Macaca fascicularis: one gene and its partner. The protein of the gene in region 2 interacts with the protein of the main gene of each other region in a biochemical or structural test. Links are inferred from orthologs where the notes say so. Each region holds a gene or a part of one and is shown on either strand. Other genes may lie near its edges. The genes, in order: PRKCQ and CARD11.

What was found.
Region 1: of the proteins of CARD11 (region 2) and PRKCQ, one has a biochemical effect on the other in vitro, tested with the Homo sapiens proteins (2 studies listed by BioGRID). The link is inferred for Macaca fascicularis from reciprocal best matches to the Homo sapiens genes CARD11 and PRKCQ.

The regions. Positions count from the first base shown.
Region 1 is NC_088383.1:7,438,929-7,442,744, forward strand, and holds part of PRKCQ (protein kinase C theta type), read right to left. Parts: intron 962-3,816; coding exon 762-961; exon of another isoform or gene 678-761; intron 211-677; exon of another isoform or gene 1-210. UniProt on the Homo sapiens protein: Calcium-independent, phospholipid- and diacylglycerol (DAG)-dependent serine/threonine-protein kinase that mediates non-redundant functions in T-cell receptor (TCR) signaling, including T-cells activation, proliferation, differentiation and survival, by mediating activation of multiple transcription factors such as NF-kappa-B, JUN, NFATC1 and NFATC2.
Region 2 is NC_088377.1:36,473,425-36,477,240, reverse strand, and holds part of CARD11 (caspase recruitment domain-containing protein 11), read left to right. Parts: intron 1-406; coding exon 407-559; intron 560-1,205; coding exon 1,206-1,331; intron 1,332-1,980; coding exon 1,981-2,178; intron 2,179-3,816. UniProt on the Homo sapiens protein: Adapter protein that plays a key role in adaptive immune response by transducing the activation of NF-kappa-B downstream of T-cell receptor (TCR) and B-cell receptor (BCR) engagement.

The DNA of each region.
Region 1 (3,816 bases), on a different chromosome or scaffold from region 2:
CAAGGTCAGGAGATCGAGACCATTCTGGCTAACACAGTGAAACCCCGTCTCTACTAAAATACGAAAAATTAGCGGGGCATGGCGGCGTGCACCTGTAGTCCCAGCTACTTGGGAGGCTGAGGCAGGAGGATGGTGTAAACCTGGGAGGCTGAGTTTGCAGTGAGCCGAGATCGTGCCACTGCACACCAGCCTGGGTGACAGAGCAAGACTCTGTTTAAAAAAAAAAAAGAAAAGAAAAAAAAGAAAAAGAAAAAGAAATGCATTGATGAAGTTTAATAAAATTAAGATTTTGATATCTCAATGTGTTCTGAGTCTATTGGATTAAACAAGTAATTTCTAAGTTAAAAAGCATTAGTTGTTGTTTGATAAATCTTGATTAAGTTTTATATACAAATATTATTCCCAAAACTGAAAAAGTGAATGAAACTGACAACTGGATTGATAGACAAAAATTCATCCCCCACTTAAGGGGAATTTAAGATGTTCCAAGCCTGCTTTAACAGTTTTAAATAAATAACACTTTATCATAGTCTAAGAGACTTTCTACAACTCTTTGATGTGGGCATCTGAAGATGTCAATGTGTTCTACAGCCCATCAAGAATAACCATTGCCATTGTCAAATCACCAATAAGGAAGTGGTAGGGAGCCTGGTGACCCGAGGCCAGCGTAATCACACCTTCAGATTGACATGGAGTTCTGAGCCAGTCGTCTGTTACCATCATGCTTATCCCTTAGGTGCATACACTTTACACAACGTTACCCATATTTCTGTCTTCCCGTTGTTCTTCCTGCACCTCTCAGCCAGCGAGTGGAGTTCCACGGTGGTTTCAGAGATGAGGTCCACGTTTTTGCCTTTCACAATGATCTGCATGACTCTTCCCTTGTTGATGTGGGCATCGAAAGTGCTGTCCCAGGGTGGGTACATGGTAGGTTTTTTCTGGATATACATCTGCCCATTCTCTAGGAACAGAAAGGTAAGTTCTCATTACTCCTTCAGCCAGGGCTGGAAAATAATTCAGTTCAACTCAACGGTAGCACCTGCTCCCTCTGTTCTCTGGGATATAGAATTCTGTTGGGAAGACAAAAGCAGCACATAAACAATCAGAGACAATATGGGACAGAATGAGACAGTCCCCCGGTCTAGATGCAAGGTGATGCATTGAACCTTATAAGTTCCAATGTAGGTAACTCAGACAACAATCTGCTAACGCCTTGGACTGGAAATTGTTACCGAAACACCAGGCGTTCTAGGTTTTGCTGCTCACCACACAGAAAGTCAATGACTGAAATGACGAGAATTGCCAAGGAAGAAGGCTTTAATTGGGTGCTGCAGCCAAGGAGACGAGAGCTCAGTGTGAAGTCGATCTCCAAGACCGGCTAAAACTAGGGATTTATATAGCAGGTAAGAAATGTAACTTTGTATGAGAAAACAGGAACTTGGGAGGGGTAAGGAACCAATCACAATGAACCAGGAGCCTGGCACTTCCATCTCTGGATGCCATGATGTGGTAAGTTTCAGTTCTTTAATATTTTTTTTGAGAGGTGTGGGGATCCTTTCCTGAGGAAGAAACTCAGAAAGTTCCAAGCTTTAAGATCAAAAGGGTCCATTTCTATAATTAGCCAAAAACAACCGTCTATGGTACTATCGGGTTGGTTTCAAAATGTTCTTTTCCTAATCAACAGTTAGTTGCTTCACTCTGGCTGTAAACACCTGAGCAACAAACTTTTTAAAAAATCTTTTATGCCTTTGAGATTCTCCTTTATTAATCTGTCGTGTTAATCCTACGGCTGATTAACCTCACTGGCCCCGGGTTAAACATAGTCAATTCAAAACTACTGTGTGTTCATCTGAAAGACATAGTGGCATAATTTAAGCGTATAATGAATGCTCCTTTAATAAATATTTAAATTTTTTTCCATTTGACATAAATACAGTAAGAGGCAATGATCTTTAAAACATAATGAGCCATTATTTCCTTCTCTAATTCTTGGGTGAAGATACATTTTACATGTACCATGCACCCTCAGCAAAAGCTGATGGGCAACTCGGAGAGGTGGTGCTGGTCTTCACTCATGGAGCCAGCGAGGCTGAAGCAGACTGCAAGTCTGCAAGTGAGGAAAGGTAAGCAGGTAGCAGCCCTGGAAATAGTAATGAATCTGTAGACGGGAAGGTCAGTTTAGGGGAAACCTCCCTAAAGCCGCACTGTGATTGGCAAAGAGTTTGCTAATTAAGAAGTTTTTCCTTGTCTTTCATGCACATTGAATTTTCTCTGGTATTTATTCTTTAATCATTTCAGAAGCAGAAACCTGCATTTGAGGGTTTGTTTCTTGTGATATAAGCACATTAAGTGGCAGACTTAGCAATTCAGAGATGTCGATTAAGCAAAAGGGGAAAAATCCGCTTACAGCCAGGAAATAAAGCCCTTCTAACTTTCGAGGGCCCCTTCCGTCCAACACACAAAGCTAAGCAGAGCAGGCATTTAGCGTTTGTTAAATTAGTATTTATTTTGGGGGTATACAAGGAGTTGAATAAGCTTGAAACTCAAATGTTAGATAAACTTGGCTAGGAACGATATAAACCATGAGATTACTAAAGGTGGAATAGAAAGGGGAAAGTTTTTGTGGGTTGGTTAAAAAAAATTGGACTGGAGATTGGGCTTTTTAGAAACCAATGGCAATATTAATGATCACAGTAACATTTTACTTCCACAGACCTGAAGCTTCCCTTTTGGATAATTCCTTTTGATGGTAACCATTCTCTGTGCCTAGAGAAAAGGGCCAAAAATCCTCCGAGAAGGGGCAAACATCCTCGAAGCAAGGCACTTTTTACATTTGCATTCACCACGTGTGTAATTACCTAAACAGAGGATCCTGACTATCTAGAGTGTTACCGTTTTCAGTGACTCACAGCCCCACCGTCCCATGGTCTGTTTGTCCTTGTTCTGTTGGCTTATTGTGGAAAACACAGTCTTACACTCCAAGAACTGAAATGTGTTTAAATTCTGTAGAAGTAAATATTGAATGATAATATTCAGAGTGATTTCTTTTCAGAACAAACCCAAAATAAAATCAAAAGCAAAAATCTCTAAACTCCCTCCAACTCCACAGGCTAATCTTTAGGAAAACCAGTTTCCTTCTTTTCTGACAAGGTCTCTCGATCCACATGGCTGATTAGACCAAGTTCAAAGGCAAGGCCAAAAACAATTAAAAAAAAAAAAAAAAAAAAGGCCCTCAGGAGGCAAATGTCAGGGAGAACTGAGAGGGTAAAGAGAACTGGATCCAGGAGACCCATTAAGTCAAAGGCGGCTTTGAAAAACTCAGACATTTTACACTTCAAAGATGTCTGTGACATTTGAAAGGTTTTAGGTTGGGAGCAAGTGGCATTCACACTTTTAACTAAACAGGAGAGAACTCTGGGCAGAAAGGAAATCAAGATGATTCAGACAGTCTCCCTGGCTTTGATGTGTTCAGAGTGGCTGGAAGGACAAAGTCAGCTGTGAAGCAAAAAGTCTTTTGGTGGGGGATGCAAAATAGTAGGTTTGGGAACCCCTAAATGTGAACTGTGAGCATCTGGCAGGAGGTTCTCAACATCTGAGTCAGTTTCTTCTTGCATCTGCAAATGTCCCTGCTCACAGGCCTTTGCAGGACAACCCTATATAAGATAACACACATCCCTGCCCCCAGTCCTCTCTTCTTTACACTGCTTTTTGTTCCTTCATTACCTGCTGTTGGTATTTTTGTTTATTGCCACTTTCTTCTGCAAGAATAGATGCTCTAAAGGGAAGGCAGTCTTCCTGAGTTCCTTCTGCTTATTT
Region 2 (3,816 bases):
CTCTTTCGGAGCCGAGGGTGAACCCAGCTTCACCAGAACAGATTCCTCAGTATTTCAGGGACAGCATCTAAAAAGCCGATCCAGCTTCCCTTTGCTGTCACCTGTGAAGTGTTCTAGGTGCACCAGTTGCTTCTCTGCGCTCTAATAAGTGCCAGGGAGAACAAAAGGCCCAGGATACTCCCAAGCAGAAGCCAGTTTTCTGCTTCTTTCCAGGCAATAAACTTCTTAAATGATAAGCTTCTTAGAGACCTCAAGGGACATACATCTCTTCTTGCCTCTACCTTCCAGACACAAAACCTTCTGCTCTGTCCGTGTCTGTTGCTGGCTCTTCTGTCCCCCACCTTCCAGGACCACCTGGCTCCCCACCCCGACCCTGACCCTGTTAAACCTCCTCCCTCCCACCCAGGCTGGAAAGCGCAGCCTGCCAGACTCCGACAAGGCCATCCTGGACATCCTGGAACACGACCGCAAGGAGGCCCTGGAGGACCGGCAGGAGCTGGTCAACAGGATCTACAACCTGCAGGAGGAGGCCCGCCAGGCGGAGGAGCTGCGGGACAAGGTGGGAGCGGGGAGCGCCTGCCCAGCAGTGCCCTTGGCCCGCCCCCTTCACACCAGGGGGCAGTGGTGTGTGTCAGCAGGACCTCCCTGACCCCACACTCCTTTCCGGGGACTAGGTCAGACCCCTGGCATAAATCCCCTGTACTTCCCAGTATTCAGCCCCTGGCAGGAGCTGCAGTTTATCAACCTGATGAGGGCCTGGGGGCAGGAGCAATGTGGGCAGAGGAGACGGTGAGGGCTTGGGATTGGGGGAACCAACATACTTGCCAATGTGTGAGTCTCAGAGCCTCACCCACACCTTGCAGATTGCAGGATCCCAGATGTGTCGGCCACCCTTGGGCATTTATAAGCTATTGCACCAGCTGAGCACCAGTGTCCCCCTCCTGATTGAGACCACACTATCCTCCCATACATTACCTGGTCTGTAGTGGGTTCATGACAATGCCAAGTTCATTGGTCCCCTACCTTGAGCCCCAGTGGTCAGATAGCCAGTTCTCAGAAGGGCAGGCCATGTCCTGACCATGCCAGCTTAGGGAGGGACAGGCCAGCTCCAGCCAGCCGGCGGGAAGGCACGAGCGGAGAACAGCTTTCAACCCTGACCTATTGATTCCTTGATGCACGTATTGATTTCTCTGTGTTGTTCACAGTACCTGGAGGAGAAGGAGGACCTGGAGCTCAAGTGCTCGACCCTGGGGAAGGACTGTGAAATGTATAAGCACCGGATGAATACGGTCATGCTGCAGCTGGAGGAGGTGGAGCGGGAGCGGGACCAGGTACAGGCACCACCTGCAGCATGCAGGGCGGCAAGACTGCACAGCGGGGCCCACACCCCAGGCCACGGGGTCCTTCAGAGTGTTTTGTCCAGTGCAATGTCACTGACAATGCAGGGATCACTCCTGAATCCATCTTTCCCATTTCTGTTCCAACGATGAATTCTATCCCAAAAGGCTTTTGGAAGTCACAGGCATTTGGGTATCAGGGGGCTCTGAGCTGAGCTCCAGCAGCTCCCACAACCAAGCATGGTTCTTAAATGTTGTCTGTTCTCTCGGGTGAGAGGATGGGTTCAGATCCAGCCCTGTCATTCATAAGGTGTATGCCACCCTGACCTCAGTGCCCTCATCTGTAAAATGAGGAAAATTACGGTAGCACCACCTCATAGGGACAGGCCGTGGCCTTCCAGGGATACTGCATCAAATCTCTCAACACGGAGCCTGCCACTAGCAAGGGTCGAACCATCGGCTCTGTGATCGTGTTATTGAAGAAGGCAGTGACTGACACACCCAGGAGTCAGGCTGCAGATGAGAGTCACAGACGATGTGGCTGGCCCCTGGGTTGGGGATGATGCCTGTCCCTGGGCCCAGCTGGAGTTGACTGGGGTGCGGCCCCCAAAGCAGCCTTTGTCCTGCTTCTTCTCCCCGGCAGGCCTTCCACTCCCGAGACGAAGCCCAGACACAGTACTCGCAGTGCTTAATCGAAAAGGACAAGTACAGGAAGCAGATCCGTGAGCTGGAGGAGAAGAACGACGAGATGAGGATCGAGATGGTGCGGCGGGAGGCCTGCATCGTCAACCTGGAAAGCAAGCTCCGGCGCCTCTCCAAGGACAGCAACAACCTGGACCAGGTGGGCTGGGACAGGCAGGGCTCACGTCTGAAGCCAGGTGCCCCATGGCGCCCACTGAGGGCTGTGGCCAGTCGCCGCCTCCCCGTGGGGCCCCACATCTGAAGGCAGGTGCCCCCTGGCGCCCACTGAGGGCTGTGGCCAGTTGCCACCTCCCAGTGCAATGAATGGCTCCTTGTCCTTTGTTTAGTTTTGTTTTGTTTTTGAGACGGAGTCTTGCTCTGTTGCCCAGGCTGGAATGCAGTGGCACCATCACAGCTCACTGCAGCTTCAAACTCCTGGGCTCAAGCCATCCTCCCACTTCAGCCTCCCGGGTAACGGGACTAAAGGCACACACCACCATGCCTGACTAATTTTGTATTTTTTTATACAGACAAGGTCTCACTGTTTCCCAGGCTGGTCTTAAACTCCTATCCTCAAGCGATCCTCCCGCTTCAGCCTCCCAAAGTGCTAGACTTACAGCCATGAGCCACTGTGCCCGGTCGGCCCTTCATATTTTTGAAGCCAGAAGTTCCCTCCCACACCCAGCATAATCCACATCTTTTAGTCTTGTGTTTGTGTCTGTTTAGTGATGAGTAGAAGCCACTCATTTTGAAGTTAGAAGATGCAGGGTAGGGCTGGGCACAGTGGTTCATGCCTCTAATCTCAGCATTTTGGGAGGCTGAGGTGGGAGGATCGCTTTAGGACAGGAGTTCAAGACCAGTCTGGGCAACAGAGTGAAAATTTTTTTTAATTTAAAAAATTAAAATTAAAAACATAAATAAGAAGATGCAGGGGGCTGGACGCGATGGCTCATGCCTGTAATCCCAGCACTTTGGGAGGCTGAGGCGGGTGGATCATGAGGTCAGGAGTTCGAGACCAGCCTGACCAACATAGTGAAACCCCGTCTTTACTAAAAATACAAAAAAATTAGCTAGATATGGTGGTGTGTGCCTGTACTCCCAGCTCCTCGGGAGGCTGAGGCAGGAGAATTGCTTGACCCCAGAAGGCAGAGGTTGCAGTGAGCCGAGATTTTGCCACTGCACTCCAGCCTGGTGACAGAGCAAACCTTCGTCTCAAAAAACAAAAAGAAGAAGATGCAGGGTCAAGCCTGACCCAGCCACTTCCTGGCTGAGCAGCCTCCCCGCTTAGGAGCCTCAGTGCCCTCTCAGTTGACCACAGCCAGCTGCTGGCCTCCTACTAGGGTTCCCCCGCACACCTGAACGGTCACTGGGTTTAAGACACCCTGCGGTCATTAGGGTTCCTAGTGCCTGTGAGTAAACCCTCATTTATCGACAATGTGAATTGCAGAGTGCATTTCCCAGCAGTGCCCCAGGCACTGAGAAGTGAAGGAATGCCTCCTCCAGGGTAGATGTTATCACTTTTATAGCTGTGGGTTTACTGAGCGCAGTCACGTGCAGGTGCCACGCAACGTGCCCCCTGCGCGTTACCTCATTTACCCCACAGAACTGTCCTGCATGGAAAGCACATGCTCAGTGTCCTCATTTACAAAAGAAGGGACCCTGACTGGGTGCGGTGGCTGAGGCCTGTAATCCCAGCACTTTGGGAGGACCCGCATTCCCGGCTGCAGTTACAGCGTGAATACAGGCCTGGCACGTAGCCCATCGTGCTGCCAGCAGGCCGTGTCCGGCACTTCCACCG